Sus scrofa: one gene and its partner. The protein of the gene in region 1 purifies or fractionates together with the protein of each later gene. This does not show direct contact. Links are inferred from orthologs where the notes say so. Each region holds a gene or a part of one and is shown on either strand. Other genes may lie near its edges. The genes, in order: SLC22A5 and YIPF3.

The links.
Region 2: the proteins of SLC22A5 (region 1) and YIPF3 purify together in Homo sapiens (co-immunoprecipitation; 3 studies listed by BioGRID and IntAct, counting the BioPlex papers as one, with this or other methods). This does not show direct contact. The link is inferred for Sus scrofa from reciprocal best matches to the Homo sapiens genes SLC22A5 and YIPF3.

Annotation. Positions count from the first base shown.
Region 1 is NC_010444.4:134,677,779-134,681,585, reverse strand, and holds part of SLC22A5 (solute carrier family 22 member 5), read right to left. Parts: intron 3,096-3,807; coding exon 2,969-3,095; intron 728-2,968; coding exon 627-727; intron 1-626. UniProt on the Homo sapiens protein: Sodium-ion dependent, high affinity carnitine transporter. Involved in the active cellular uptake of carnitine. Transports one sodium ion with one molecule of carnitine.
Region 2 is NC_010449.5:38,508,413-38,512,865, reverse strand, and holds the start of YIPF3 (protein YIPF3), read left to right. Parts: upstream 1-1,432; 5' UTR 1,433-1,577; coding exon 1,578-1,658; intron 1,659-2,154; exon of another isoform or gene 2,155-2,207; coding exon of another isoform or gene 2,208-2,252; coding exon 2,253-2,450; intron 2,451-2,641; coding exon 2,642-2,748; intron 2,749-4,424; coding exon 4,425-4,453. Other genes in the region: POLR1C (DNA-directed RNA polymerases I and III subunit RPAC1), read right to left, coding at 1,000-1,071, 1,198-1,281. UniProt on the Homo sapiens protein: Involved in the maintenance of the Golgi structure. May play a role in hematopoiesis.

The DNA of each region.
Region 1 (3,807 bases):
GAAGTCTGCCTTCCTCCCCCAGCAGCTCAGGTAGCTGCCTGCAATCCCAAGGGTCTGGCCACTGAGCAAACTCCATGCAGGCACTTGGCTATGTTCCTTCTTCCTGGTCAATCACGAACCCCTCCCCGACACACTTGGAGAAATGCTGTGTTAGAAGGGCCCTGATGAGGACATATAGGCCCTGGCTCTGCCTCCAGGACCGTCTTCAACCATCCCAGAGGGAGGATGTCCTGTCTCCACATTTTCAGAATGTATTTAGCATCCTCTGTAATCGAAAGGACATGGTGTCTTCACTTAGAACTTCTAAAAGGCCTCAGCTGTCCTCCTCGGTCAATGTCTGATGCACAGGTGACTGGAACAACTAAACTAAGACCCAAAGTGAGCAATGACTTGCCTTATGACCCGAAGGGATCCCCAGAGATCCCATATCTCCCCCCAAGCCCCCACAACAGTTTCATTCTCCTCTTCCGAGATTAAGAACTTGGACATGCCCATTTCTTTTCATCGCAAGACACATCCCCGATGATACAGGCTTTGAATTCTGGTCTAAGACGCGTCTGTAAATGCAGGGCCTGACGGCCACGGCCAGCACCTTGTCTGGACGCAGGTAGGGCTCACTCACGCACCACAGAATTATGGACATGATGGTGACCATCCGGATATTCCGGGTTCGGAGCAGATCCAGAATGCTGTGGGACTGCTGCTTCTTGGAGCTCAGGTCTTGTAGCTGCAGGAACAACATGACAAGGGTATGGGAGGGAGAGAAGGTTGGAGACTCAGAGACGCGAGAACATACTTGAAACCCTCGCATCTTAGCCTTGCACATCTCTGGGTTGGGGAATGTTTTATGCGTCTTGCTGGATAAGAAGAGGACTATAGTGACTGTATCTTGGGCTGCAGAAGGCTCCCCAGGCCTTGTCGATAACAAATTAGTGAACAAGAGTGAGGAGGAAGAGGAGGCGACCAGTCCCTGAGGTGATGAGGCAGCGGAGGAGGAGGCCCCAGCTGACTGCGCCTTCCCGGCACCACCCCCAGCCCAGTCAATGGCCACATTCCAGGGAGGCCGCTGAGCATTCCTCCCCGAGGCTGGCTCCCAGCCTTCTGGGTCATAGAAAGAAACTGGCTGTGTAGTTTATGGATAGGATATTTTAAAAGAATTAATGTTTTCAGTCCTCATACCATGAAGTTATGGACTACTTCCAGGGAAAAAATTTTTTCAGATAGAAAAACAGGAAAATTGACCTCAGCTTCACCCAGAGTAACTTCCTATGAAATTTGGCACAGCCAAGGACATTAATAAACCACACGTCTAAACACACTGAGGTTGCTTTCTTAAGCAAACCCAGCTTTGGAGTTTGTTTTTTCCCAAGTCCGTGGTTCAACAAAAGGTCAACTTTTGACTTAACAGATCCCCTGAAATAGCCCCATTTCCACAAAGATGCCAGTGGGACTTACGGGTTCACACAGACTGACCCCTGCAGAGCTACGGAGGCTAGCTCCCTTAAAAGCCCTCCCTGCATAGACCCCTCCCCTCTGTGCACCAGGGCCCTTTCTAGGACATGCTAAGTGGGACTGGTGCTGGATCACCACTTAACTGAGAGGCTGGCAGGGCTGCCAAGTGGCCAGCAGCTTCTTTGCTGCCCATAATAACTGGTCTCCCTTTCCCAAGCCCCAGGTCTGCATCTAGAGCCTGACATGCTAACACGCCTTTGCACATTGCAGCATGACTGCTGGTGGCTGTTCTCACAGCCAGCCCCTTGTCTTCGCATCAGAACAGAGATACACTCCAGAACCCCATCGGCCAGCCATGACAACTTCTACCCTTCAGGAGATGAGGAAAACTGCTTGCTGCAGAGAGGGTGGAAAGAAAGGGAACAGGAAGGAGACGCAAGACCCAGGAGTCAGGCAGAGCCAGGAAATTACTCCTGGCCTGTGGGAACAGGGTTCACAGGGAGGGTGGGGCGGGGGAGGGCGAGTATCCAAAAGGACCAGGCTCCAAGACAACACTCAACAACTCCCTGTTGGTGGCAGGAAAGGGACAGGACATGTCTAACTCTAAATCTACTTATGCTTCACAGTTCAGGTACTGCAAGATTTTTCTTAAGATGAGGGACTACCTAAGGTGTAAGAGACAACAATTTTCCCAAATACCAACTTCACAAGAGGCCTATTACTCATAAAGAGTTTTTCTTATTAAATGTAATAGGAGTTTCTGTTATGGTAACGAACCCGACTAGTATCCATGAGGACGCCGGTTCGATCCCTGGCTTTGCTCAGTGGGTTAAGGATCCGGCATTGCTGAGAGCTGTGGTGTAGGTCCCAGACACAACTAGGGCTCTGCCTTGCTATGCCTGTGGTGTAGGCCAGCAGCTGTAGCTCCAATTTGACCCCTAGTCTGGGAACCTCCATATGATACAGGTGAGGCCCTAAAAAGACTAAATAAGTAAATAAAGTATTTAAAGGTAATGGTTCAACTGAAAAGAATTATATAAAGTATGAAAACCTAAAATCCATGGAAAAGGTGAAGGGATTTAGGCAGTTAGCACCTTCCTCTCAACCTCTGAGTTTTTAAAATTCATTGTTCAAAAATTTTTATTAGCGTACAGTTGATTTACAGTGTTGTATTGATTTCTGCTGTACAGCAAAGTGACACAGTACCATATCTATCTATCTACTTATCTATATTCTTTTTCTCATATTTTCTTCCATCACGGTCCATCCCAAGAGAGTGGATATAGTTCCCTGTGCTGTATAGTAATATCTCATTGCTTATCCATTTTAAATATAACAGTTAGAATCTCCTAAACCCAATCAATTTCTGAATTTTAACAGGGCCTGCCTTGGGGGCAGCTGTCACTCAGGCAGAGAGGGCTGGGCTGCTGCGTGAAAGGGGGGCTTTGGGGCTCTGGGTGCGACCCTAAAATCATGGTCACCAAGACCCTCCCGCCAGCTCTCACACAGTGCTCACCTCGCTTGAGTCAAAGATGGTGGAGGGCGCAACGATCCCATTGAGTCCAGCAGCCTTGCGGATGATCACCTCAGCTTCCTGAAATCGTCCCTGAGAGATGAGCCATCGGGGGGACTCAGGAATGAACCTGGAAGTGCAAGGAGCAATCTGACTGAGGCCTTCCTGCCTAACGGACCAGTGTAGCACAAGTGGAAGCGGGAAATGGGGTTTCGGAACCAGAACTGGGTTTGGGGAATGTTCGATGTTTCCAAGACAGAAGCTAAGAGATGTACCCTACTACACCCAGGAATGACCTGAAGTGTGAGCTTCGGATACACGGGAGATCACAAAATTTCAAGGGGCCAGCACACCAGGATGGGAATTCCTCCCCTGGCTAGCCACCTCCATTTCTGAGGAGTGGTGGTGCCACCTGCTGGACACTAGGTAGACAGGCACGAAACGGGCTCCTGAAGCCTGCCTTCAGCCACCGGCGCAGCCCAGCCCAGATCTTTACCTTGCTGTTCTCCTCTGCTTGTTCCAGGCAGTGCAGTGTTTCTGCACTGCCCTCTTAGCCTCTAGCTTTTCCTTAGCACTCCTCTATCCCAACCCCTGACTCAGTGAGCTGACTCTGCAAGGCATGTGGGTGCTTTGAGACTTTGCGGACCTTATTTTCTACCTCACCAGGTAGCCGCTGCTCTTAGGCCATGATTGCGACTCATCGGTATCTACCTTCTCCCTCTACGCTTGGCCATGTCATGCTCTCATGTCCATGTGGACCAGTGATCTCATCATCCCTACCCCAGTCCCTCAGCTGTATTCTCTCTCTTGATATGTACTGCCCTTCCCTCTGCCTGTCCTCT
Region 2 (4,453 bases), on another chromosome or scaffold:
AAGGAAATGTTAAGGGGGTTTGAAGACTGCTGTAAGCCAACAACCGACCACTTAAGAATCCAGTAACTTAGCAACAATCTACACCACCTTGAAGGAAGACCAGGTGTATCTAAGCACCAGAAACAAGCCACAAGTCCTGATAGTTAAAACCCAAGACAAGAGATATGGGGTTTCAATCTTGTTACATGAAGTCAGAGTTATTGGTCCTTGAAGACTGGCATTGCTGCATGTAGACAAGGTGAAAGAGGGAAAAAACTAGGTGAAAGGGGAAATTATTCTGCAACCTGAAACGAATTACCACATTTTCGCATATGTTACCGCTTCTGCTAATATACCTATGATTTAAACAGCCCATGACACTCCCCCTTAGACCATATAGGGTCAAAGGAGGAACTGATGATGCAAGCCTGGACCATCTTACCCAAGAATGAGAAATAAGGTGGTCTTCTCCCCGCCCCACTTTCACCTTGATTATAAAAATGTAGCCCTCTTTGTTCTCTGGGTCGCACTCCCTTGCCTGCTCATTAGTATTTCTGACAAGCGTCCTATGCTAATAAATTCACTTATTGTGTATCGGTTTGCCTCACGCTGAATTCTTTTTCCCACGAGACAAAACCTGAGGCTCAGGAAGTCCTGACGATAGCAGGTGAGCGGTATCAATTAAGACAGTGGGTTTGAGTCCCCTCCTACGTCAGGGACCATGGGTTCAAGTTCCAATGGGGGTTTTGGCTGAGTTCGAGTCCCACCCGAAAGGGAGTGCAGCTTCAATCTTTATTGCTGTTAATCGCCCTTACCACAACTCACTAGAGTCGTGTTACCTGTACTCTTTTCCAAAAAGACCGAACCATCTCGTTAGCTTGTAGAACAAAGCAGAAATTGTGCACATCGAGTGCCTAACACATCCAGAGCGAACCCCCAAGGCAGTTTCCGAGGAACAGGATGTTCAGAGTGCAAGATCCGATCCTCATACCCTCTCTGAACACCTCCAGCTCTACCCACCTTCTCGAAGCGGTCCTGGTCCCAGGCATCATCATAGCCCGAATAGTTACCGGGAAAATCGGTAGTATGAACCTAGAGCAAAGAGAAACGAACCTGTTCGCGAAGGAGCAGCGAGGCCAAATTCATCCCCACTCCGACTCTAACTCATCCCTGCTCCGCTCTGATTTCTCCTCCCGAGGTCAAGTCCACAAGACTTACATTGCGAACCCCGAACTCCCCTAGAACCACGCGGCTCCGCATTTCCTCCACAGCCTGAGCCGCCGCCATCTTCAACTCCACCATGTGACTAGAGTACCAAGCCTGCGCGTGCGTTCTAGTCTCCCTGCCCCGTCTCCGTGGCAACACACCACCTCCCGGAATCCTAAATATCGCGAGAATCTGCCCCGCCTCCGTCCACGTCCTCAGATACCGGAAGTCAGTTTTAACCAAACATCCGGTTTTCTCCTTTTTGCGTTCCGGCCGATCCCACCTTTCTTTCTAGTCCCTGGACCTGTCCATCCGTCAGGCCCTCATCTCTCCCACTCCTCCTCAGCGCGCGGGACTAGCGCGGGCTTCAGCGACGGGAGCCCTCGAGGGACATGGCAACTCCGGCGGCGCCGGCCGGCGGCGCCCGAAATGGGGCTGGCCCGGAATGGGGAGGATTCGATGAAAACATCCAGGTAAGCGCCCCACGGCTCCGGCTGCCAGCAGCCCCACGGCCTGCAGCTGTCCTGAAGTGTCATGGGGACTCTTCCTTCGAGCCTTGGAAGTCTGCTCCGTTTGCAGAACTTTTTGTCTTCTTTGGGTCTTCGTGCACGTGAAAGGCAGTGGAACTAGTGCGGACCTAAAAGGTCCACACTAGTACCTCTGAGCCCCCTTGCTCTTGCTTTCCGCACAACTTAGAAGGTCGGGCACGGCCAGGGGCGAGGGTGGGATGGGGGGTAGGCGGGATTCACTGGCCAAAACCACACTGTGCGCGCAGCCTTGTTTTGGGGTGGAAAACACAAAGGAAATGGGCACTTTTGCAGCCTTTTGTGGCTTTGGTAGGAAAAGGACACGTATGGAAGACAGGGAGTAGGTTTCCCAGGCTGGAAAAGAGAGCCAAACAAAGGTTCTGAGAGCAGTTGAGGGGAGGGGAGTGGCATGGTCTATGGTAATTCTAAGCCGTATCTCCAGCAGTGAAAGGACAAAGCTCCAAGCTCTCCGGTGAACAGAGAAGGACATAACGGATGGAGCAGAAAGGTCCTCCACTGTGGGATCCGTTGTCTTCACAGGGTGGGGGCTCAGCTGTGATTGACATGGAGAACATGGATGATACTTCAGGTTCCAGCTTCGAGGATATGGGTGAGCTGCATCAGCGCCTGCGTGAGGAAGAAGTGGATGCTGATGCAGCTGCCGCTGAAGAAGAGGATGGGGAGTTTCTGGGCATGAAGGGCTTTAAGGGACAGCTGAGCCGGCAGGTGGCTGATCAGGTAAGCAAGACTGGCTCTCTGACAGGTGGAAAAGTATCCTGAGGCCTCTGGTTCTGAGTTGGTATTAGTGAAGTTCACCCCAGCTTGTCCAGTTAGAACCATGTAGAGATCCAACAAGAAATAAGCAAAAGGGCCTTAAAGCCAAGAGTCTCACGATACCCTCCCACCCCACCCGGTCTTCCTTGCTTCAGATGTGGCAGGCGGGGAAGAGACAAGCCTCTAGGGCCTTCAGCTTGTACGCCAACATCGACATCCTGAGACCCTACTTTGATGTGGAGCCTGCACAGGTGCGAAGCAGGTGAGGATCCTCCTGACCGAAGCTGCCTTCCTGACATCTAGCCCTTCATCCACTCTACAAGCAGACTCCAAGCCCTTAGAATCCCCTCTTCATGATTCCAGTCACAGAACAGGGCTTGGCGAGAACACACCTTCCTCCTCTTCTCCATCTAGCAAACTTCTCATCTTTCCTCAAAACCTAGCTCAAATGTCACTTCCTTTGCTCCCTGTTCCAAGTTTATCCTTTCCTTTCCTGATGCTCCACTAGGGCTTTGCTTTCCTTTAGCAGACAGCACTTCAGCGATGCTGTACTTTGTCATTCCTGGGTCTGTCTCCCCAGAGACCTCCTCAAAAAGCAGGCTCTGTTTTATCTTTTTTCTTTCTTTTTGTCGCCACCCCACAGCATGTGGAGTTCCCCAGCCAGGGATCAGATCCCAGCTGCAGTTTCAACCTATGCTGCAGTTGTGGCAATGCTGGATCCTTAACCCATTCTTCCGGGCTGGGCGGTTGAACCAGTGCTCCAGAGCTGCCACCGATCGAGTTGCACCACAGTGGGAACTCCTCCTTGTCTTTTTATTCCCAGCACTAAAATAGTCTCTGAACCAGACCATTGGTACATTGTTGTCAAGTTATGTTTCAAAAACCAGATTTAATCTTGCTTTGATTCTTTGTTCATCCTTTAATTCAGCTAATGCTTATCAAACACCCAGTACCACTCTACAAGTATTTACTAAGCTTTTGCTCTGTGTCAGATCCTACAGTTGTGTCTGATTTAGTGGTGACGACAAATGGGAACCTTATCCTCGGGCACAGCCGTGGAGCACTCATTTGCCATGTAGGAGGGACACCTGATGAGGGGTTGGCTGGAGGGTGGGACAGGGCAGCTTTTGAAGAGAAAGTAAAAATCTAGCCAAGATCCAAGGTATTATTAGGAGCCAGTCACTTAAGAAGTGGAGAAGTGATTGGTACTTTTATTCCTTCTACCTGCAATGTTCATATTACTTCAAGTACATTTTTCAAGAAAATGCTCAGTGGGGCCTAGAGGAATGGTAAGAAGGAAGAGGCAGGAGGCACGCTGGTTCCCTCAAGTAACAACTTTCCTGCTAAACCTGTCACCATCACATTCTCTTGGGGCATTCTCTGCTGAGGTCTGCATGTCTTTTAAAGGAGTGCAGGAGTTCCCGTTGTGGCACAGCGGAAACGAATCCGGCTGGGAACCATGAGATTTCGCGTTCAATCCCTGGCCTCGCTCCGTGGGTTAAGGATCCTGTGTTGCCATGAGCTGTGGTGTAGGTCGCAGATGTGGCTCAGATCTGGCATGGCTGTGGCTGTGATGTAGGCTGGCAGCTACAGCTCCAGTTAGACCCCTAGCCTGGGAACCTCCATGGGCCGTGGGTGCAGCCCTAAAAAGCAATAAATAAATAAGTAAATAAAAACTAAAGGAGTGCAGGTCACACAGGTAAGTGGCCATGCCCTCCAAGACCCAGCGGGGCTCTCGAGTCTCTGTGCCACTGCTGCGTCAGTCAGCACAGCATCAGAGGGCTGTTCTTCCTGGAAGCGTTTTCTGTCTTCATTACCGTCTTTTCCCTTTACCATCCAGTGTGTTCTCTTCATTTAGAGAGATGATTGAGATTCAGGTTGTCCAGAATCTCATAGCCTAGTACTGCCTCTGCTCTCATCTCTCCTCTCCCTTCCCAGGCTCCTGGAGTCCATGATCCCCATCAAGA